Arabidopsis thaliana: one gene and its partners. The protein of the gene in region 1 interacts with the protein of each later gene in a pairwise test. Each region holds a gene or a part of one and is shown in the gene's direction. Other genes may lie near its edges.

Region 1 (11,015 bases):
ACGCCACTCTTATATTAGCAAGACATATGACATGTTTTATGTTACTCTGTACTATTGAGGCAATACTATTGTTGATTTAGTGTATTAATATTATTTTTTGTGTCGTCATCCAACTTTAGACCTAATAATCCATGTTATTAACACAAGTAAAAAGTGATTATATTACTATATATCCTAGTTCATCTGTGTTTATCTTTTATTCTTCTAAATATATACTCTAAGAACCTCAACAATTCAACGTTTCATTGTCAATAATCTACAAAAATGTGAATATGGCCACATTCTCACGTCTCCATCTCACTAATGTACAATTCAAAAGTATATAATAAGATAAAAAGCTTATAATACTACACTTATTTCGCTTATACATCTCATCAAAAGTTATATAAGAGAAAGGTTGGATGGGGACACATTTACAACATTATTTGATCAAGAATGAACTCTTGTTTCTGACAAAATATATATATTGCATGACTCACTGATTATGTATGACATATTTTTTTCTTTAATCTGTTATCCATCAATATTAAAATATTATATATGTATAACTAGTGTTAATACACAAATTATCCTAAATTTACAAAACTTTTTCAAAAAAATTACCCTAATTAAAATGAGAAGAAACTCATGAAACTTCAAAATAACATGGACATGGAACTCATTAAACTTTTACATGCTCACAACAATACATACTCAACATCACACTATATTAACGAGTAAGAGACACACATCAGTACGTCACTAAAAACATAAGCATCATAGCTGATTTAATTTATCTTTTATTTGTCCAAAGATATCCTTTAAAATATATATAAAATTAACGTTGTAAGAAACATGTAAAATAAAGTATTTTTATAGAAAGAAAGGAGACTTTTCACCAGTCATAACTCTATATTCTTTTGGCACAATAAGTAATGGTCACAACACAACAATGTCTTCACCAAAACCAAAGAACTAATTGAGTAAGAAGAAGAACCAAAGACTTGTTCAGCAATGTGGATAACCCCAATCTCTCTTTCTCAAGAGAGGCCAAATCACTCTTCTTTTCTCCGTTTTGTCTACTTTGAAACGTTTCTATCTTCTTTTTGTAGGATCGTTTGAACATTTCCCTTACTTTCTCTATTATTTGATATGATCATTTAGATTTCTTTTATATCATGGAGGGGACTACGATTTGTTTTCTCTATCTTTTTGGAGCAGAAGATCAGATTCTAATAAAATTTGATAAATGAGGTTTTTGTGTCTTGTACCGATATGACTTACACAATATCTTTAATTAACCAGTTTTATTGTTAATAACATGCATTATACAACTTTGAATATGGATTTTGAGACATTAACGATATGAGTGCATGCCATTATATGGTCAATCTTGAACCAATTAAAATTTGTTTTATATGTATATCTATTTTCACATAACATATTGTTTTACCAAAAAAAAATTTATTATCTGCTTTTGAAAGAAAACATAACCCAGTTATCTCTCTCAATAAATTTCATCCAACAACATTCCCCCCTCTCAATGCGTATATTTATTAAAAACTGGATAGTACATGATCGCGGTGAACATGAAAAACTCTATAGTATACATTAATATAATGGAACTGTTAGGGCGTATTAGACTTACTAAAAAATTATAAGATATAAGAAAAAGAAAAATCCTATGTAAGAAAATTCTCTCAAACAAAGGAACTGTTAGGGCGTATTAGACTTACTCTAATACGCTATAATGTGAATTACGAACAATAATCAAAGCAATAAGAGAAAGTAATTCACTATAGGAACAACTTTGGCATCGTTACAAAACAAAGTGAAAGATGAAGAGAAAACATCCTTTACGTTCCATCATTTTCATCCACAAACCTGACAAAAAGCTTCCTATGTTCTTTCTCTACTCTATCTTTATAATAAAATAAAGTATTTATGTTCTTTTAACTCAATGTTTTGATGTATATGTTGTCTATATTGTTAGGTTCCTTGTAATTTTCATCTATCACAAGCCAAGTAGTGTACAACAAAACAAATTAACAAAAGAAAGCATCATCATTATGAGCATCATCCTCGTATTAGATTCACTGTTTCTACAAACATCTTTTAGGAAAGAAAAAAAAAATTCCAACAAAACTGAATATCTTTATTTTGCTGAGATGACATTGTTTTGTCTTGTGTGTTAAGTTCTTGTGTTCAATATTGATAAATATAATCAAATGGCGATAGTTGACAAGTCACCAGGCCAGCGATCAAATACAATCTCTACGATCATCACATACTTATTCAAGGCTAGCTGCGTCTATATATTATAAAATTTTCATATAAGTTCCATATTAGTTTTTGTTTGTTTGATTGGCAAATGCACGGTTTTAATAATCTTGTTAGTCAATAAAGTTTAAAAATCAATCGCAAACCACTATAGATTAGTGTTTCCATAAAGAAGATTCATTGGCTTATGTATCAATGACTATTTAAAAAAAAAAAAAAATTGTAAACTAGACAAGATTTTTGCTAACAACCCCAATTATCATTAACTAATTAATTAATGATTTTGTTTCTGTCCCTAATATAGACAGCACAAGTTGTTGATTAAGATTCTTTGTACCACCCTACTCTTAGCTTTGGTCCTAGACAATCAATATAATTAAGTAGGTCCAAATCCAAGGCTTGTTTATGTGAATGTGAAATAAGAAATAATCGGTGATTTTTATTCAAAAAAGAAAAAATAATCGGTGGTGGTCGTTCAATCAGTAATCTCGAGGTCCGAAAGCACAATGCATATCACGAGTTCAAGATTTACTGGTGATTACAATTAACTTGGCACATTGTAATTACAAGATTTTTATATATATATTTCATGTTTCACTAACCATAAGGTAAGGAAATAAAAATAAAAATGAAGGAGTGATTAGTTGGAGCCGTAGGCCGTAGGGAACTTCGTCGTTTCTCGTAGAAAAGAGTGTAGGGACGACAAGAGTTGTTGTGAAATGGACGACTGTGATCGTTAATGTGACTCTCTTTGTCCAATCATGTGTTAGCTGATTCCACACGAAACATAGACCTTATCACACTGGAAGTTTACTTGACACATGTCTCTACTCTTTTATTCATCATCACTCAGACCTTACTGTTTGGATATTTTGGTGGATTCAACTTTGTCGTTTAGTCTCATTCATCGGCTCTCTCGCGTGTATCGCACGCAAATAGAACACTCAATGGCCAAATCTTGGAAGCAGTCAATGGCCACCAACCTTCAATAAATTACCACTAATCATTGGATAGTTCTAAGAAATGTCTACTTTCATATATTAATGCCAATTTTACCGGTTAAATTTTGACTTGACAACAAAAGATTTAACTTTTCTTATGAATACAAAATCAAAGAATAAATTTAAACTGAACAATTGGTATACGAGATAGAGAAACCAACTTCGATCAAAGTATGAGTAACGAAGCTTGATCAAAGTATGAGTAGGTTAAAGTTAAATTACTTTTAACAAGGTAGAGACAGGAGTGGTCGTGGATATAGGTTAGACTAGTCTAAGTGATGGAGCTTAATTAGACGGTTACGAATTGTTTTGCATCACATTCCTAATAAGTACATTAGATGGGTTTGATACAAATCGATGGATATTTATATTGTATTGCTTCCAATTCTCATATTAAAAACATTTGGAACCACATGCAAAAATTTATATGCTTGTAACATAAGTATATAATCTATTTATTTGTTTATTTTGTCAATGCTTAGTGATCAAATTAACAAAGTATAAGTATATGTATGTTTCTATAATATCTGAAATATTTATTCCTAGATAATATGTGTATGCCAAACATTTGATATCGTGTATCTGTAATCATGTTTTTTTAGCAGAAGTCATGAGTTCATACCAAAATTAATATGCAAATTTTATGTTTTTTCTGATGATGGGATTAAATTTGTCGTACTTTTTTGATAAGACAGCAACTATAAGCTTAAGTCAAATTTCTGAAATTGGTCCCCCACACCTCTAAATTTTTGAATCGTTTGTATTTTTTTTGTTACTAAATACAAAATAATGTAAAATTTAAATTTGTACGGCTGGATTCTCTTATCCGATCTATCGCATGCCAATTTCTTCAGGGACCACAATTAGAGGAAATCGTTATCACGACACGTGTCCTCCGATATTTTTGGCGCCGAGTAGTGACGTCATTATTAATGGTCCCCTCCTTCCTTGCTTTTTTCCCATTCGTCTACTCTCCTTTTTCTTTAACAAATTATCTTTTTTTTCCTCCGATATTCTTCAAAATTTGTTTTAAAATCCTTTGCAGATTTGTGTAATTTATTTACTTTTGCTTGGTACCAAAAACAAATAGAGCAAAAATGAGCAATTCTTTTTGATAAGCAGAAAAAAATGTTAGGAACGAATGAAGAAAAAGTGATGCAGCTATTTCCTTTTACTGTCACTTCGTAATTCGTATCATTCTTTTGCCGTCAACTTCTACCATCTCTTTTTTTTGTAAAACGATAAAACTTTTTGTTGTCGCTGTAAATGTTAGTAATCTGACCTAATCCCAATTTATTATGGATCACCAAAAAGCTGGTACTCTACAATTTAATAATAAAAGAAGAAGAATAAATATAGGAATAAATCGTCTTTTTTGGTGTAAGCTACATATAAAATTCAAACCGTCAAACACACATACACATCGAAACCCTTATATTTCATTTTCTTTCTGTTTTAGAGAAGAAAGTTTCTATAATTGATTGATAAATCTGAACATCAAAGCTAAGAATTTCTCTTCTTTTTTTCTTCTTAATTCATCTTTCCCTCTCCGAAACAGAAATTCAAAAACAAATTCAACACGAAAACGATGGCGTTTCATAACAATCACTTTAATCATTTCACCGACCAACAACAACATCAGCCTCCTCCTCCGCCGCAACAGCAGCAGCAACAACATTTTCAAGAATCAGCACCCCCTAATTGGCTCCTCCGCTCCGACAACAACTTCCTCAATCTCCACACAGCTGCCTCTGCCGCCGCTACAAGCTCCGATTCTCCTTCTTCCGCCGCCGCTAACCAGTGGCTCTCACGATCCTCATCCTTCCTCCAACGAGGCAACACCGCAAACAACAACAACAACGAAACATCCGGTGACGTCATCGAAGACGTTCCCGGCGGAGAGGAGTCAATGATCGGAGAGAAGAAGGAGGCGGAGAGGTGGCAGAATGCGAGACACAAGGCGGAGATACTGTCTCATCCACTATACGAGCAACTTTTGTCGGCACACGTGGCGTGCCTGAGGATCGCAACGCCGGTGGATCAGCTTCCGAGGATAGACGCACAGCTTGCTCAGTCTCAAAACGTCGTGGCTAAGTACTCAACTTTAGAAGCCGCTCAAGGACTCCTCGCCGGCGATGACAAGGAGCTTGACCACTTCATGGTAACTTAACTTCTCTTTCCTTCTTACCACTCTCAATTCCCATTATTTTATTCCTTTTCTTTTCTTTTGGAAAATAAAATCACTAAAAATTACTTTCATCTTTTATATTTAAAACGGTTTGACAAATTTGAATATTTTGTTGTTAATTATCTCCAAATTTATAAAAGTAAATTAGAGAAGAAAATCAAAAATTCTTTCTAGACTTGTACTTTGCACCGACAGACATGATCAGTGGGTTGGATAAATCGTCAGTTAAAAATTTGGATATTAGTTTTGCACAGTAGTAATTTGACAGCATAAGGTTTATTTTGAGATAGATTTTTGCTGAGTGTAAGTGATTGAGCAATTTCATTGATTGCAGTTACGGATACAGTGATCTGACAAAAACTAGTTTGTCACTTTCTGTATCTATATCCCATATTTTACTGTTCATGGACGTATTTGTATGATTGTATCTGTTGTCTGAAAGATATTTCCATGTTTTTGTGCAGACGCATTATGTACTATTGCTTTGCTCTTTCAAAGAACAACTGCAACAGCATGTTCGTGTTCATGCAATGGAAGCTGTTATGGCCTGTTGGGAGATTGAACAGTCGCTTCAAAGTTTTACAGGTTAGTTTTTAAGACTTCTACTAAATTATCAACTTTAATTTGTCATTTAGCTGTTATGGTAACTTTTGTATTTCACTATAGTATTGTAAAAGACACAAGGTTCTTTTATTTTATTTCTCATTTCAATGCTGTTTTTTATATTTAGTACCTACTTCTTGAGGTTTTAATTTAACACTTGTTTTGTTGAATGAGACAGGGGTATCTCCTGGTGAAGGCACAGGAGCAACAATGTCTGAGGATGAAGATGAGCAAGTAGAGAGTGATGCTCATTTGTTTGATGGAAGCTTAGATGGGTTAGGGTTTGGTCCTCTAGTTCCCACTGAGAGCGAGAGATCTTTGATGGAACGAGTCAGACAAGAACTCAAACATGAACTCAAGCAGGTAACTAGTGAAATATACTATATCCATCATTTACTACTACACATATATAAGATCAATGATAACAAATCCTTCACACCTTATTATATATCGTTGTAGCTAAAGTAAATATGCTTCTATTTAGTCCAATCAACCAAGAACTTGTCAAAACTTTATTTTTGATCTACAAAAAGACTCAAATGAATTTATGATTTTTAATTGTCTGAAGCTTGTTTGATGAGTTGTCAGTTTGCAACATCTACATAGTACTTACACGCACTTATATGCATGAAAATTGTGGTACACACTATATATAGTTAGCTTAACTAATGATATTGACCCATGTTTTTGTGAAAAGGGTTACAAGGAGAAAATTGTGGACATAAGAGAGGAGATACTGAGGAAGAGAAGAGCTGGAAAATTACCAGGAGACACCACCTCTGTTCTCAAATCATGGTGGCAATCTCATTCTAAGTGGCCTTACCCTACTGTGAGTTCCCTCTTTCTACTTCTTCAGTCACTCGCATGAACACGCCTCGTGGGTCTTTACCTAGTTCTGTCCCGAAAATCTTTGACTACATCATTTTTGCAACTTCATATGCTTTCTCAATCTCCTAAGTTTTAAATGAATCATGTAAATTTTGACAGGAGGAAGATAAGGCGAGGTTGGTGCAGGAGACGGGTTTGCAGCTCAAACAGATAAACAATTGGTTCATCAATCAAAGAAAGAGGAATTGGCATAGCAATCCATCTTCTTCTACCGTCTCAAAGAATAAACGCCGAAGGTACTTTGCACCAACATAACTTTATAGGAAGAGTATCCAAGAAAAGACAAAATATGATCACACGATAAGATACAATCTCTGAAATATATATATGTTAGGTGTGACAAAGTTTAGCTTGTTTATGTATGGTTAGATTAATGTTTAGTTACATTTTCAAGATATATGGAGTCATTAAATTTGGAGGGTTTTCTTTATGAAGCAATGCAGGTGAAAACAGCGGAAGAGACCGTTGAGATCAAGCTTGCATGTAGAGATCCAAAAGCTTTATAGAAAGGTGGAGGCATGAAGACAAAGAATTCTTACACAACAAACGTAGGACGTAATTTTGTGCCAGTACATGGTATGGCTTTCATATTTGGTAATGATTAGGGCCACACAAAATTAAACCCCAAAGCATGATTTGTAATATGAGGTTTTAGATGGACTTTATGATAGGATCGTCAGTCTTCACTGCCATCTCCATTCTCCACCATCAATCCATCATTATATCTTGTGAATAACATGGAAATTTCTCGTTATGCATTTAATTTGTGCAATCATTGGCCGTAATCTACACAAATATACATATTAATTTAGCTTGAATATATTATCTCAATTAATGGTTTCAATTTTTTTGTTTTGTTTTGTGAGTGGAACCACTTTTTATGTGGAATTGTTAACCCTAATGCCAAAATCTAAACTCTGCGAAGGTCGCCAGCAAACGAAAGAAAGAGATTATCTCCGCCGTTGTCAAAATTATTAAAAGGGATTATAAAGTTTTTCAATTTGGGCCCCTTTCCTGCGTTTTCTTTATTGTCCATTATGGGCCTCATTGTCTCTAGACTCTCTACCTTACAGGGTTTGCTCGCCGACGTTTCATACATAGTCCTCTTGTTTCTAAGGATGCCGATTAACACTTTTCATTTTTATCAACAAACTGGCTTGCAAGGGTTTTGAACCTGAGTGATGACCTACCATTTCTATCCATACTATAATCAGATTTTTTTTTGTTCTTTTTTATAATCAAGTTGGTGAAATAATTAACAACAATACTAGCACAAATCATTAACATAATGGTTCATACCTCATAGCCATATAAGATCATGAAAAAGTTATAGTTTTAGAAGTTTGTTTTTATTTTTAGTTAAAATTTAGTTTTTCCAATTAAGACCGAGTTATTAGTTAACAATGTAAAACTTAAGTAAATGCGATTTCTTTGGATTGGTTTGATTCGACTACAGTAAAACATAGGTCTTTGTTTTGTTTTAACCATAATAAAATCAATTGGATTATAAATAACTTTAGTTCTAATTCCGTTTACACATTTAGGTTTGCTTCAATTATAATCCTTCATGGAGATAGATAGCTAGATTAGTGGTGGTAATAATGTATGAGTTGAGAGAGTCTCTTTTTAGGTAGAATAAGATTGCACATGACGTGGCATTGTGAACGTTGTGGGGTTTTGTGATTGGTCTTGTCTTCTACTTACAAGACAGTCATATGAGAGGAGCATTTTAGAGCTGGCCCAATCATAAAAGACAGCTAGCTCTCTGTGACTCTGTGTTATCCGTTATGTTGCAGCAGCGACGAAAACAATTTGCTTCTTCTTCTTCTCTTTTGTCCTTATAGATAATACTTTTCTTTTCAAAATCAATTCACAATTGCTGAAGATATCAAAGATTCGTTATCTGAAAGTGACGCAGAAAAAGTACACAAAATAAAAGTGTTAGTGGGTAACTGGAGGATAGATAGAGAATATAAACAGAGAGGACGACAAAGAAGTTCAACATTCTCTCTAGTTTATCGCGCGCTTCTTTCTGTTACACGTTAGCCAATCTATGAGGAACATTTTCTGATTTTTTTATATGTAAGTATATTAGGATAATCATTGATACAAATATTCGATTCATCTGGTGTTTCTCTAAAAGATTAGGATATTTATGGGAGAAGAAGCTCTTCCTCGAACACCAATACGAGGAAATAACGTTCAATGAAGTTTGACATTACATCTTAATATTATATTTTAAGATATTTTTTAATATGCGATGAAGGAATTCATCTATGTAGTACGGTAACAATTGCAAGTTGAGGACGTCACGATTTCATTAGTTTTTATGGCATATCTATATTCGTCGTTGGGGACACGATGCAAGTATATTATTTTTTTTTGATAAAGCAAACTTTACAGTTGACAAAAAAAAATTACACCTTTACAATTTACAAAATATATGTTTAAAACATATCATAATACATTTGTTAATTAGAAACACTATGGATTTATATAGAAAATGTACTGGACTAATGGTGGATACAAATATCTAAAATGGAAACAATCAATGACGATGATTGATATTGAATGTTGTGACTCGATAGGAGATCAAGTCTAGAGATAGTTGTAAGGGAAAAAGTAGAAAAGAGTATAATACACTAAAAATGTATAGTAGACAAAACGAGCAAGATTTGAGGCATCAGAAGAGAAAGAGACATGTCGACCGGTGGCAAGTGGTAGGTATCACTATGTAACAACACAAACGTCAAAACATGTGAGAAAGCGTTTTTGCTTCGCTTTTCTTTTTCAATTTTCCCCACTTCACTTCACTTCACACAGTCACACTCTTATCCTCAGTATCTCCACTTCTTTTTTCAATGAAATGTTGTGGATAAATAATACGATAATTGGCATCCACTATCTTAAACCAGCTTTGTATGACTATGCCCGTGACAGCTTACCAGAATCTCTGTGTTTTGATTAATACTATTTCCAGACACTAAAGGTTCTTTTTTCCTAACCTAATTCATAATTAGTCGAAACGTAAAGATTGATTCTTCTAATTATTAATATTCATATATAATTCCAGTAGCTGAATCAGGTTCCTGTGTTCTATCTAAAAGTATACTATACAAATAAAAACCTTTTTCTTCTCGACATGAGTTTAATACTATATGAATATGACTACACAAATATTTTTATATTTTTTGAAAAAGATAAATATGTTGATGTTGTATACCCAAAAAATTGTGTTTTAGCTCCAAAAAAATACCAATGTCTTGCTTCAACGGTCTCAATGATCACGATCCATAAATCATAAATTTTATAAAGTTCAAACGTTTCTAGCTACAAGCTAGTTTCATATGATGCCGACACATTAATTCATAGCTTTCGTCTCTTGTCCTGTAATTAGTCTTAAATGCTTTATTTCACCCATATATAGCTTTTCACTTGACTCACGTTTCAACTCCGTTCTACCAACACTGATTTAATCCTCATCAGTTCAAAAATCTCCCTCACTCATCATTCTCTGCTATAGTTCTTGATGAATAAAAAACTCTAACCATCTCTTGTTCCATCTAAATACAATGTGGTAATTAATGAACGCTAAGATCAAATCAAGATTTGAAATGATGGAATCAAATATGCAATGATTAACCATCTATTAGATCCACACCATTATTTTAGGGTTTGTCCGTAACAGTTTATGAACAATTCAACAAAGCGCATAAAGTGAAATGGATTAAATTTGTAAGAAACATAGAAAATGTTTCTGCTTTTTATTTGCACACATCAATTTTACAAGTATATCAAATCAATATGGCGAGAGAGCATTTACATACACCTGACGTCATATTCTTACGTCATTTCTCCGGCGAACAGTTACATTCCACCGTCACACACAAGAAAACGAAAAGATATTTTTTTAAAGAATCTTTTTGTAATTAATTATTCCGTCAGAAAGAGATCAAATCAACCGTCGCCGATCTCGTCTTGGTCACCGGCGACTGAGGCAACCTCGCCGTGAAATTAGGAAAAGAACCATCGTCATCAGCTCTCACATTATCCTCGAAATTGAGCGCGTAACTCAA
Region 2 (5,854 bases), on another chromosome or scaffold:
TATCTACAATGGAGTTTTATGTGAGTCTGATGTTCACACTCGAAAACTTTCACAAGTTGAAGAATCATGTGATTTTGTATCTTGATGTCAATGTTTCCCATTCATGGAGCTTTTGTCGACAAGTTTTGACATGTCCCTACAATATAGCAACAACACTTGTGTGACATAGATATTGAAAGAGAGATAGATATACCCATTCGCATTTTTATAAGATTCCTCTTGTGATAAATCCAATGAAACTATATGATGATTTCAAAATAATACAAAAATAGAAATTGATCTCAATGTACCTTCCAAAGAAAAATGACAACGTGTGGGGCTAAAAATTGCTGTACCATCATATCTGACACCTTGATTCCATTTTTTTTTTATACACCAAACAATGAGTAGAGCATAAAGGCCTTTCGTATTACAAGCATTTATTACTTACCATATTTAAAATAAAAAAACTTACCATATTATTGTCGATCTAGTATATATATATATATAGATCGATATTTCTACGTATAAATAGGGCGATGTTGTGTGACATGTCTCTCAGTCACCACTTTTGGCGGGTTCTCGTCGACAGAGATTGATCAAATCTAATTATTATTGTTGATGATAGAAAGTTGTCATGCATAGATTTCTCAAGCGAGAATATTCATTAATATAGGATTCTCATTTTTTAATTCTTCGCTCTGAAGTTGTAACCTAGTAGCTTGTACTAGGTACATGCCATGTTGTAACATTGGTTAGATATTTGTAAATTTTAGAGGCTTTAAATGCAAAAGATTATATTCGGACTACTCGATCATAAATTTTGGTCTAGTAATCTGCTTGAACATTGATTTTGCGGAGCAATTCTTGATGAGAAGCAATTTTATGATTTTATCCCAAAACTAATCGCGACATGATCATTCGGTGAATTTGTTGCTAGGAGAAACAATGGTCTAAGATAAACTGAAAAAGGGAAGAGAACAAATATTAGTTAAGATTGATCAATGAGAAGTGAAGTGAGTCAGTGTACTTTGCACAAACATCGATCTTTCGTCTTTGAGTCATGAGATGGCCAGTTTAGGTTAGTCCAAACATTGCCTCCTCGTGAGTTCTTGCTGTATATATTTGCAAGGACAATAATTCCTCTTATTTGGCGTTAATTTATTTATTATGTCTAGAGTTCGTAAATGAATTGAAGAAAATTATTTACTAAACAATAAAGGTTTTGCTCTCCCCGCAGAATTTTTGCCTATGACATTAAGAAAAAAAAAGCGTGAAAATATAAAGATAAACAGTACAATTTTGGATTATATTGTTGAAGTTTACTCATATAATTTGTATATGTTGATAATGGAGAAAACATATAAATATTTGCATGTCCGTATATAACCTTATTTCCCTTCTATCAAATCTAAGAAAAAAAACAAATACTTTACGCGTAGGCGCTTTTTCATGTTTAAAGTTTCGATTACCATCAAGATTTGCTTTTTGAGTCATTTTACCTTATACTATATACGACAAAAACTCGTAAATTACCCTCTTATTGTATTTAATTAATTGAAATTTCTAATTCACATTTAAGATATTAATATTTTAATTTATTTTATCAAGATTGTATATTAATAATAAAATAGAAATTTTCATTGTCAACAATAAATATGAATTTTATATCAAATATGTTAAAAATTTAGTTTTAAGTGATATATAACCATTTTCAAGAAAACAAATCTATAAAAAAAAAAGTGTATGAATTACTGAAAGTTGGTATAACTTAAAACCTTCAAACGAACAGACAAAAAACTAAGATGACCGTTAATAATAAGATACTTTTGTAGATCTGTATATTATACAAACAAAATAAGTAAAAATAAGAATTAAAATTATTTTGGTCTTAAGATTCACAGCAAAGCACGATGCATTGTGTAAATATAATACATTATACAAATACATGGTGGTACGTATATAATATAAATATTTGTACATATAAATACAAGCATGATACAATAATAGTATCAAAACAAATTAAGACAACCTAGCTAAATCCACATGCTCAATACATATTCTCTCACTCTCTTTCTCACAAAAACAAAAACAATGCCAAGAGTCATGTGGAAAAACTTCCATCTTTGCTTCCCATCAAATCTCACCAAGCCCTCTTCATCTCCGTCCGGTGCCACCTCCGACGATCCCAACCGTCCATCCATTCTTCTCATCAACAACTTTAACCTCCTATATGACGACTCCTCCGCCGCCCACCGCCGCCTATCCAAGCCTCTTATCCACGACGTTGAACCCTCTTCCACCTTCACCGCCTCCACCTCCACCGCAGCTAACTCTTCTTCCTCCTCTGCCTCTTATGATGATTCCGATAATTACGGTTTTGCCCCTGACGACGACTCTCCCCCTCCTGACTTAACCGCCGTTTTAGCCTCCCGCCGCTTCTTCTTCTCTTCTCCTGGCTGCTCAAACTCAATCACTGACTCGCCAGATCTCCGCTGCCGGGATAATTACGATACTGCCACTAGGCTTCTTACCGGAGGAACCGCCGTGAAACACTACGTGCAATCTCCTGATCCGTACAACGACTTCCGACGATCAATGCAGGAGATGATCGACGCCGTTACAAACGCCGGAGATCTTCGCCGTTACGAGTTCTTGCATGAGCTGTTACTCAGTTACCTCTCTTTAAATGCCGCCGATACACACAAGTTCATTATCAGAGCTTTCGCCGACATTCTCGTCTCTCTCCTATCGGACGGTCACCGGATCAGCTGAGCTGACGTGGCATATATATATTTATTCTCTCTTCATGTTATGTAAAAAGTAACACATGTTATTTATTTTTGTAATGCGTTACTTAGGACAAATAATCAGAACTAAAGTTAATGTAATTATTTTGTAATGATACGATTGAGAAAGTCGAGAGAGGCGTGGGTTTTTGTCTCGATCGCATGCAGTTAGATTCTTCTTTTAATTTGTTTCTATTTTTGTCTTTTTACCCTTTTAAATTAAATAAATTAAATGTTCTGGAGTATATATGGTGAAACTTAAATCATTGATTGGGAAGTTATAGTTCAATTTAACATATTGATGATAAAAAATAGACTTAATTTATACTTTCCGAAATGCATCTCTAGAAGTATATATTAAGAGACGGAAACCCATGGCTTCATTATAAACTTAAAAGTGAAAATTTATTTTGGTTTAAATCATTAAATACACGAACGAAACTTATGAGTTGAAGAAAATTTGTAATGGGTAAAAGCTGAATTGTGATAACTAACAACATTACAATTTTGCTGATTAATTACCAACAAAATAATAATTGTCTAATTGGTATGATGTATGATTGTTAAAAGTTTGTCTTTTGGAGAAACTACCAAGAAAACGCTCGGATTAGTGCCATGACAAACAATGAAAAAGCTACGTCGACTGACAATTGGTACTATTTCTTCTTCTTTCGTAACGTCTCAAATTATGTTTGACATGTATATCGAAGATTGACTTTCTTCTGCTTTTCTTGATGTTCTCACTTTACATCCATATCAAAACAAATTATTTAATCGAAAAACTGTATATGATAAAATTTACATCGATTTATATAGTTTTATTCAGATATTTTAGCCAATGCCATGATTTCTTTTATACGTTGGGGTTTATGCTATTTGGCCAAGATTCATATAGCGTATTAGTTATCTAAAACGCAAGAAGCGCATTAAAATATTGCCAAGTTAGGGAATGGTGCATGATAGACTAAATATATTAACAATAGGTATTCAAATTTAGCTAATGTTGAGATCTATTGTTGTAGGTGATTCTTTCCATGAGATATTTCACATAACACAAGGTGAGACAAAAACAAAATAGGAGAATCCTAAGAGACGGATGTTGGCCGAAGCCTCAACCAATATTATAACAAAGCTATTTTCATCATTAATATTATATATAACATTTTGCTCACATCCCTGATTCATATTCGCAGGACACGACCAACAACAATAAATAGTGTATGAAATAGGGACTGAGACAGTTAATCATTTACTACACTAGAGATTAGAAATCTCAAGGTTTTCAGATAGATATTAAAACAGGCCTTTGATTGCTTCTTCACTCACCATGGCAGCAGCATTCTCCGGATAAGAATCAAGGAGAGCTTCAACATTGGGGATTAAACCGCCTCATCGTCTTTGTCCACGGCTACAATATCATTGGGGGTAATAAAGCGTTGAAGCTGCTTGAAAAATAAACTGACACACAGAGATAGAGAGAGATAGAGGAACACGGTCGCCAAATCGTTTCGATCGCAAATACAACTCTTTCAGTATCATAGATAATTGTGGCCAAATATATAACTTTTGGGTTCTACGCAAAGAGTTAGATGAATTTTAAGGAAACAGTGAGAGATAAAGAACGAGAAATTTACGTAAGAGAAATAATAAGCAGAGTTGGTTGGATGATCTCGATAATCGACTAGGGGTTTCTAAATCACTTATTGAATACATACGCCGATGTTTCCCGCCCGCAAAGAAATTTATATTATTAGGTGGGGCTGAGAATGGGCTTCGCTTTAATGCGCTTAGATTTAAAGGCCTTTGCAGTTTCTATGAATCGGCCTTCTCTGTGCACCAATCCTACTTTTTTTGTTTTTTTGTTTTTTTTGGGGGGCATAATCCTACCTTTTTAATTTTTAAATACCAGTTATACTGAAAATTTGGTTATTTTATACCCAAAATAATAATATAACTAGATTTATTATTGTTGTCGATTTTATTATTTTTTTCATAATTCATTGTTGATTTGTTGGGTAATTATTTAATTTGTTTTTAAGTTTGGTTAAATTATAAATATATGGATTAAGTTGCAAATACATGTTGTTATGTAGTTGCAAATATGTGGGATAAATGATAAAGTTTTATTATCGAATTGCTAATATTTAAAAGTATCAAAACTTATTTAAAACCATCTCAATATATGATCTTAACAACTCCATTTAACTACTCACAATATTAACTTTGTGTTGATTAAAAAATGTAAGTAACCTATAAATAGAGAATATAATTTTTTAAACAAAAGATTAAGATTTTAACAATGGATATTTTGTACGTATAATGTAAACTTTTTATTCTTGTTTTCGATGAACAACGTTTACCGATTAAAGAAGTAAACACAAAGTAAACTATTGAAGATCGTACATGGGTTCTCCTTAAAAATTCTTAAAAATAACTATCTGAATGTCGAGTTTATCGTTGCTCCTTACGAGGTTAATGCACAACTTGTATATTTGGCGAATAATAAAGATAAAGACATTTGTATGTGGTTCTCATTACTGATACTTACCTCGTACCATTTAGATGTCCAAGAGTAAGTTCTCTAATACACTTATCAATTATTATTTTTAATAGCTTGAAAATAAATTTAATGGTCAAAAGATACCTATAATATATTTTTAACTGAAAAATAAAGAGAAATTTATGAAATCTGTTAGTTTTATGTTTTTAATAAGCAAAATAAAATATTTTAATAAGCAAAATAAAAGATTTATGTTTTAAATTATCTAAAAGGTTTTTTTTTTTTTGTAGTTTAAAAAGTAGTACAAAAAGTGTTATGATTCGTCATTAATCATTCCCAAGTACTCTTATTCCTCGATAATTGTTCTTCAATCTCAAATTTACATAAACAATTGAAAGAAATTTATGGATTTATTAATTATATAGCGATTCATATTCAAATTTAACAATAATTTTGGTATTTATTTCTCGTAATTGATACTGCGGTTTCAATCCTAATTTATCCAAACTAAAAACTCTCTTATTTGGTCTTTTTGTACTTCTCTTCCTTTTTTTTTTTTTTTTTTTAAATTTTCTGTCAATTGTAC
Region 3 (6,522 bases), on another chromosome or scaffold:
AGGGGCTTGAGGAGTGAGGACGGAGAACCACACGTGTCCACACAGTTGTGATAATTTTTTTATTCAACAATAAAATTGCAAGAGACGAGTTTGGTAAGTAAATCCGGTTGAACCGGTCCGACCGGTATTGACCGAAACATACAATCTTTTATAGTCTTCACACATTGTTCCCAACTTTAAACTTAGAAACCTTAGATGTTGTATTCAATAATTGTCAAACCACAAGTACTGACAGATACAGATTTAAAACATTTTTGTTTTGATCAATTTAACTAGATCTGTTCATTCACCTGAAAACAAGTCTCTACAGAGTTCTCCATAAAATCTTGAGACAAGTTCAATGAAGACAGGACTCTTAAGATTCTTCCAACAGAAGAGAAGTTCCTCTATGTCCATTAAGTCATCTATTTTCCCTTCTTCAACAATCAGATGAATCAGATAGTTTTCAAAGCTTCTACAAGCATCTTCCACAGCATTGTCTTCAAATGTATCTCTTGCGTTCAGCGATTTCCTGGTCCGTGAAGAGTAAGGTGTCGTGATGGGTGAAGTGAAGAGCTTCTTGGCTGTTGCTGGCGTAAGAGGTGATTGCATAAACTTGGAGTAATCATCATCGTTCACACTAACTGCAATGGCAAAATAAGAGAACAAAGAGATCAAGAAGCTGATAAAATTTCAATGTTAAAACAGATTTTGTAGCGAAGTTGTCTTACAAGAGGAACTTCTATGTTTGGCGTTGCTCATCTTATGGTTCTTGCTTGAATTGAGGAAACAGAGACAAGAACAGATTGGCTTCTTGGAATGATGATGTTGATGTCTAGGTTTGACATTGCCATGACGGGCACGAAGAGGTCTAATAAAGACAGGTCTTTTAACTCGGAAGCGGAAGAGAGAGACAAATCTGTTGCATGATTTCGAAAGCTTTGATTTGAAGTTAATCAAAGTTGCTTTCACTCTCATTGTCTTGAAGCTTTTTTGGTGATGATGTTGTTGTTGTGATCCTCTTTGGCTTCTTGTTTTGTTTTGGTGTGTATAAGGTTAGAGGATTGGCTTGTGTTGCGTGGAGTTCACGTCTTTGGGTGTGAAACTGATCATGATGGTGGAGTCCCATGAAGTTTTTAAAAACAATGGAGAATAGAAAAGGTTTTCTTATTGCAAATGTTTGGTGGCTCTTGCTTATAAACAAAATCCAATATGATGAGATAGTTTTGTTTTTGTATACTCAAAAAGTCGTTGATATATTGGTAGGTCAACATTGTTGAACATAAACCAGTCCCACGTCTAGTGAAAATATCTCCATTTTTTAAATATGAATAATCACTTGTGCTTATTTAAAGTAAGGATGGAAAATGTTTTATTTTGATTTTTGAATATCATTTTTTTCCTTCTCGAAGTTAAAAGATAAGTAGTTGCCAAAACATTTGATCTGGAAAGTGGAAATGTATAGAAGAAGAAAAAAAGTGTCCTCAAAATGTTCGGCGTTAGTGGACAAAGTAGACCAAAAAATTTCTCATATTCATTATTATGACTCAAAAGTTGATCCCACTTTATTCAGAGGAGAAAATGGAACATATTTGATTATCTTAATTTCATCATTTGTGTATCTGTATCACCTTAATATAACATAAAGTGCTACTATACTAAATTATTTCTACCTAAAAACTTAAGATAAGGTTCACACTTTACCAAATTCAAAGAAGCATCGAAATGAAACTATTGAACTTCATTATAACGTGTACTTTGAGTCTTTAACCTAGATAGATTCACATATGTTAAACTTTTAGTTGAATTGTGAAAACTTTGTTTTTATTTATTAAATTGATTTGTCCGTTTAGAAACGTTTTAATATTTTCAATCAAAAAGCATACTTCGAGGAAAAGAAGCTGTATTTTTCTTTTGTAATTGCCATTTGGTCAACCTTTTTGTGTATTCTTTAAAACTGTTTACATTTGCTACTGTTTTATAATTCGCTAATTACATTTTTCAGTTATTTTATCATTTCGATGAAGAGTAAAATCTCCATGAAATGATGATAGAAATCTGTCAGAAATCAGAAGCAACTGATTCTCTGTTTTATAATTATTTTTGTACTATTCCCTTAATTATATAATATTTTAGATAAAAGTTATGTTCTTATGATTTTCAGTTTTTCACCAAATACAATTTCAATTAGTCAACCAATTTTAAAAATTCACCATAAAATAAATTTATTAATTATGTGAGCACAAGCGTGTAAATGTGATGTCTCAAGTTGATGTTGATGATGAATGATGATGATACTAATAAAAGACATTCTTTAAGCTTTTTCTAGTAGTAGCCCCACTAGTTTCCAATTTTAATCTTCAGTTTCTTCTTTATCTGTCACATAGAGAACTTTGCTTTCTCACCTTCTTCTTTATCTAAGGAAACAAAAACAGAGTTTTCTTAAGAGAAATATCACAAACTTTTGTGAAAAAGAGAGAGACAAGATGGGGAATTACAAGTTCAGAATTTCAGAGATGCTCCCAAATGCATGGTTCCACAAGCTCAAAGACGTGACTAAACACTCTAAACCCAAAAACAAAGCTTCTTCTTCTTCCTCAAACACTTGTAGCAAGAAGAAACCTTCCTCAGATTCTCTTCCTCAACACTCTTATTTCTCCAACAGCTTAGTAGCTAACAATCCTCCTCACCATAACTCACCAAGAAACTCTCTTCACACAAAAAAGATGAGTAAAAGAAAGACACTTTACAAGCCATCCCTTAAACCTTTGACTCCTCCTCCTCTTCTTGTATCTGCAAGTTTCAACAAGAGCAAGATCAACGATCAAGATTCGTCTTACAGCTTGTTCCCGGCTATTGAAACCTCCCCTGAGTCTTTTGTGTATAGTTTCTACGAAGAGGATGATGATGATGAGTTCGTTGAATTTTCCAACTTCAAGATCAACACAAAGAACAAAGCTTTCACCAAGCAGAAGGTCAAAGTGATTGATTCGGTAGAGAAAGCTTGTACTGCAAGCAAGCCGATTAAGAAACCGCAGAAAAGCCATCTTTCTGTGAAAATTTCAAGAGATGAAGATGATAATGAATATAAAGCCGAGAAGAAGTACCAAAGGCAAGTTTCTAGTGGAAGAAAACCATCTGCTGGGATAAACCTCAAAAGAGTGAATTCACCTAGAATTCAACTCTCAGGTACTCGTAGAAGCACTTCTAGAAGATCAGAGAGCAAACAAGATGTTCTAGAGAGCTTCGCTGTGATGAAGCGGTCCGTTGATCCAAAGAAAGATTTCAGGGAATCAATGATTGAGATGATAGAAGAGAACAACATCAGAGCTTCGAAAGACTTGGAAGACCTTCTTGCTTGCTACCTTACTTTGAATCCAAAGGAGTATCATGATCTTATCATCCATGTTTTCGAACAAATCTGGCTTCAACTTACAAAAACAAAGTAAAGAAAAAAATAATTCTTAATGTAATAGTAGTTAACCTAATGGTGAAAGTAATTAGTATCATTCTGCTTGTGAAATTGTAGTTGTTGACTTGTTGTTGATGTTCATAAGAAGTTAGATGGAACTGTGGAGATTCTCTCTTTGAATCCCACTTTTTATGTATTGTTTTCTTTATTTATCTTTTTGGAAAATGTAAGCAAATAATAAAAGTTGTTATCATATTGTCGTTTTAATACAAACATGATCACTAAGGGCGTGAAAACACTGTTAATTAAGACAGATTTTTTTATCACTAATTAAACATATTCTTGTCTTCTCTATGATTATGAACATATAAAACTACTCACAAAAGATGATGCTTCAAGATTTGATTATTTCTTAGAATATGAAGATGGATTAATTGCGCCAATATCATTTGAATATTTTGAAAATACAAAGTTGAAAATGGCGGTAAACAGCAACAAGAAAAAGACAACAGTGAAGAGACATGAACAATTTGAAAACGCAACAAGTACGGAGTTTATATATATGCATGAAGAACATTGGATAATCGTTGAAGGTAGAGAGAGGACCACTGACACATAAAACTGAGATGTGATTAAAGAAGAAAGAAACAGTGATGAGATTTAATCCTTAAGGGTTTTTTTTTTTCTGTGAAGAAGGGAAGAATGAACTCATGAAGAAGAAGAAGAGGACCACTGTTGCAAATTCCATCCCCTACCACAGTTGGCTTATGAAGTTTCAGCAAAAGACATGTGATATGGTATGGTTTCTGACTTCTGAGTGAACATAAGCAACAAATATTCAAATCAATGGGCCTAAATGATCTTGCAGTTTTGGATTATAAAGTTAAGAATTAAAAAGAATAGGTGATATATGTATCATAATTTTAAGTTTTAAACAAGTATGTCAGACAAAATTCTACATTCTAATTTTATACATAGATATGAGATAACCTCATAACCATAAACTACACCAAATTTTCATGAACAAAATATGATTCACACGAACTTTTTTCTATCTTGATCACCTAGCTAACTTGACAAATTAGTTGTTCGTCTAAAACTACACAAACATTCAAAGTTCGTTTTAAATTCAATATATTTAAAAATAACAGTTAAAGTTTTATTAAATGGCATTCCAAATATTGATTCCTTCTAGAAAATTTGTGTGGTTTTAAATTGTGAAATTTGGATCTAGAAAAAATAGCAAGTGTGGTTTCTTGTGACCTATGGTTGTTAGTGTAGTTGTATACCATTTTTTAAAGTTACATTGTAATTTGTAAACCATTTTTGTGTGGTTGACAAAAAAAAAACCTATGACAAAATTGCTCCGTTTTTATTTTCAATAACAAATTATAATGTAAATTAATATGTATCATAGTGTTTTTAATAAAAATATTTAAAATTAGGATTGATTGTTCTGAAAAAAATAACGCAACTAATACTTTGTTAGCAAATACTAACGTTTACGTACCAAAAAAGCATTATGTAAATCCATTCATCCATCATTGTATACTTGACTTTCTACATTATTCTTTTGTTGTATCAAATTTAAAATTAATGAATGAACTTGACATAATAAAACACAAAATATATACTTAAATTGTACGATATAAAAGTTTGATTTACATATTTTATATCTATAAAAAAGGGTAAATAAATGAAATAAAACTTTTTTTTTTTTTTTTGTCAAAGAAATGAAATAAAACTCAAATTACATTTTTATGTCGTAATGCGAGCACACAAGTGAGTGCATATCCAGTATTAAGTTTTTTTTTTAATAATTCAGAATTGAAAGCAAAGGAAAAAGAAGAAATCGAAATCGGAAACTGTATATTGTTGTTCTTCGATTCCTCCTCGCTCTACGCCGCGTCCTCTCTCTCAAATTCATCGGAAGCAACCTTCTTCTCCCATCATCGCCTGGTTCGTTTCTAAACCCTACTTCTTCTATTTCACAGTATATCTTCCTTTAATTTTCAATCGAATCTAGCTTTGTGTCGATCTCAATGTAGATCGGAATCAAGTAAAAGAAATCGATGAATTCCAAAATGTTCCCGATCTATTGCAATGCACGAATCGTAGAATTATCACCTACATTAGTCTTGATCTAATCGCCCTATTTCAATTTCAAATTCGACATCGAAGTTTAAAGGAGATCGCAAAACCTAGTTATAGAATCGTTGCGTTTGAGTTGTTTCGCTGGTGATGTAGAAACCCTAATTTTGGTTGTCCTGTGTTTGGTACTTGCTCAGAATCCAATGGCAACGATAAGGAACTTGAAGATAAAAACATCAACATGTAAAAGGATTGTGAAAGAGCTTCACTCTTATGAGAAAGAAGTTGAGAGAGAAGCGGCTAAGACTGCTGATATGAAGGACAAAGGTGCTGATCCCTACGACCTTAAACAACAGGTACAGATTTCATTGTTTATCTCTCTGTATTCGAAGATTCGGAGCCCGTCTTTGTTCGTCAGAATCTAGAAATGCTGTGTTGTGCTGTGTTTAGACTTGGTTTTTCCTAATCTGTGTATGTGGTGATGCAGGAAAATGTGTTGGGTGAGTCTAGGATGATGATTCCGGATTGCCACAAACGTCTCGAGTCTGCATTGGCTGACCTCAAGTCCACTTTGGTAAACTACATTTTCCATTGTTATTGCTTGCTAAGCGTCGGTCTAGCTTTATGTATTAGTTTATAAGAAACGCTGAGCGGTGATTTGAAGTTTAAGAGCAGTAGTACATTATCAAACTATAACTTTTATATGTATCTATAGCGATTGGATTAATCCCCTGCATGAAACCATCTTAGTCTCTCTTTGAGGAAAAATGATGAATAAGGACACAGAGGAAACTGTGAATTCGTACTCTGTCTTTTGTCTCTAATGAAAACTGAATTTGCAGGCGGAATTGGAAGAGACGGATGAGAAGGAAGGTCCAGAGATCGAAGATGCAAAGAAGACAGTCGCGGATGTGGAGAAGCAGTTTCCCACTGAAGATGCCTGATTTAGCCAGCGATGAGTGTTAAATCTGTATTCTGAGAATGGTTAATCATCTGTAAGAATCTTTATATCTAAGGTTGCTTGTCGACTGTATACACTA

Evidence for each region. The genes of interacting proteins can lie anywhere in the genome.
Region 2: the proteins of KNAT4 (region 1) and OFP12 interact in a two-hybrid assay, tested with the Arabidopsis thaliana proteins (one large-scale study listed by BioGRID).
Region 3: the proteins of KNAT4 (region 1) and OFP2 interact in a two-hybrid assay, tested with the Arabidopsis thaliana proteins (one large-scale study listed by BioGRID).

Annotation. Positions count from the first base shown.
Region 1 is NC_003076.8:3,505,560-3,516,574, forward strand, and holds KNAT4 (homeobox protein knotted-1-like 4), read left to right. Parts: upstream 1-4,273; 5' UTR 4,274-4,848; coding exon 4,849-5,421; intron 5,422-5,912; coding exon 5,913-6,033; intron 6,034-6,229; coding exon 6,230-6,414; intron 6,415-6,748; coding exon 6,749-6,880; intron 6,881-7,038; coding exon 7,039-7,175; intron 7,176-7,374; coding exon 7,375-7,408; 3' UTR 7,409-8,182; downstream 8,183-11,015. Other genes in the region: AT5G11070 (uncharacterized protein), read right to left, coding at 10,881-11,015.
Region 2 is NC_003070.9:1,588,000-1,593,853, forward strand, and holds OFP12 (ovate family protein 12), read left to right. Parts: upstream 1-1,973; 5' UTR 1,974-2,025; coding exon 2,026-2,754; 3' UTR 2,755-3,013; downstream 3,014-5,854. UniProt on the Arabidopsis thaliana protein: Transcriptional repressor that regulates multiple aspects of plant growth and development through the regulation of BEL1-LIKE (BLH) and KNOX TALE (KNAT) homeodomain transcription factors.
Region 3 is NC_003071.7:12,954,127-12,960,648, forward strand, and holds OFP2 (ovate family protein 2), read left to right. Parts: upstream 1-2,318; 5' UTR 2,319-2,465; coding exon 2,466-3,428; 3' UTR 3,429-3,681; downstream 3,682-6,522. Other genes in the region: OFP17 (ovate family protein 17), read right to left, coding at 283-623, 711-957; KIS (tubulin folding cofactor A (KIESEL)), read left to right, coding at 5,686-5,838, 5,970-6,056, 6,325-6,426.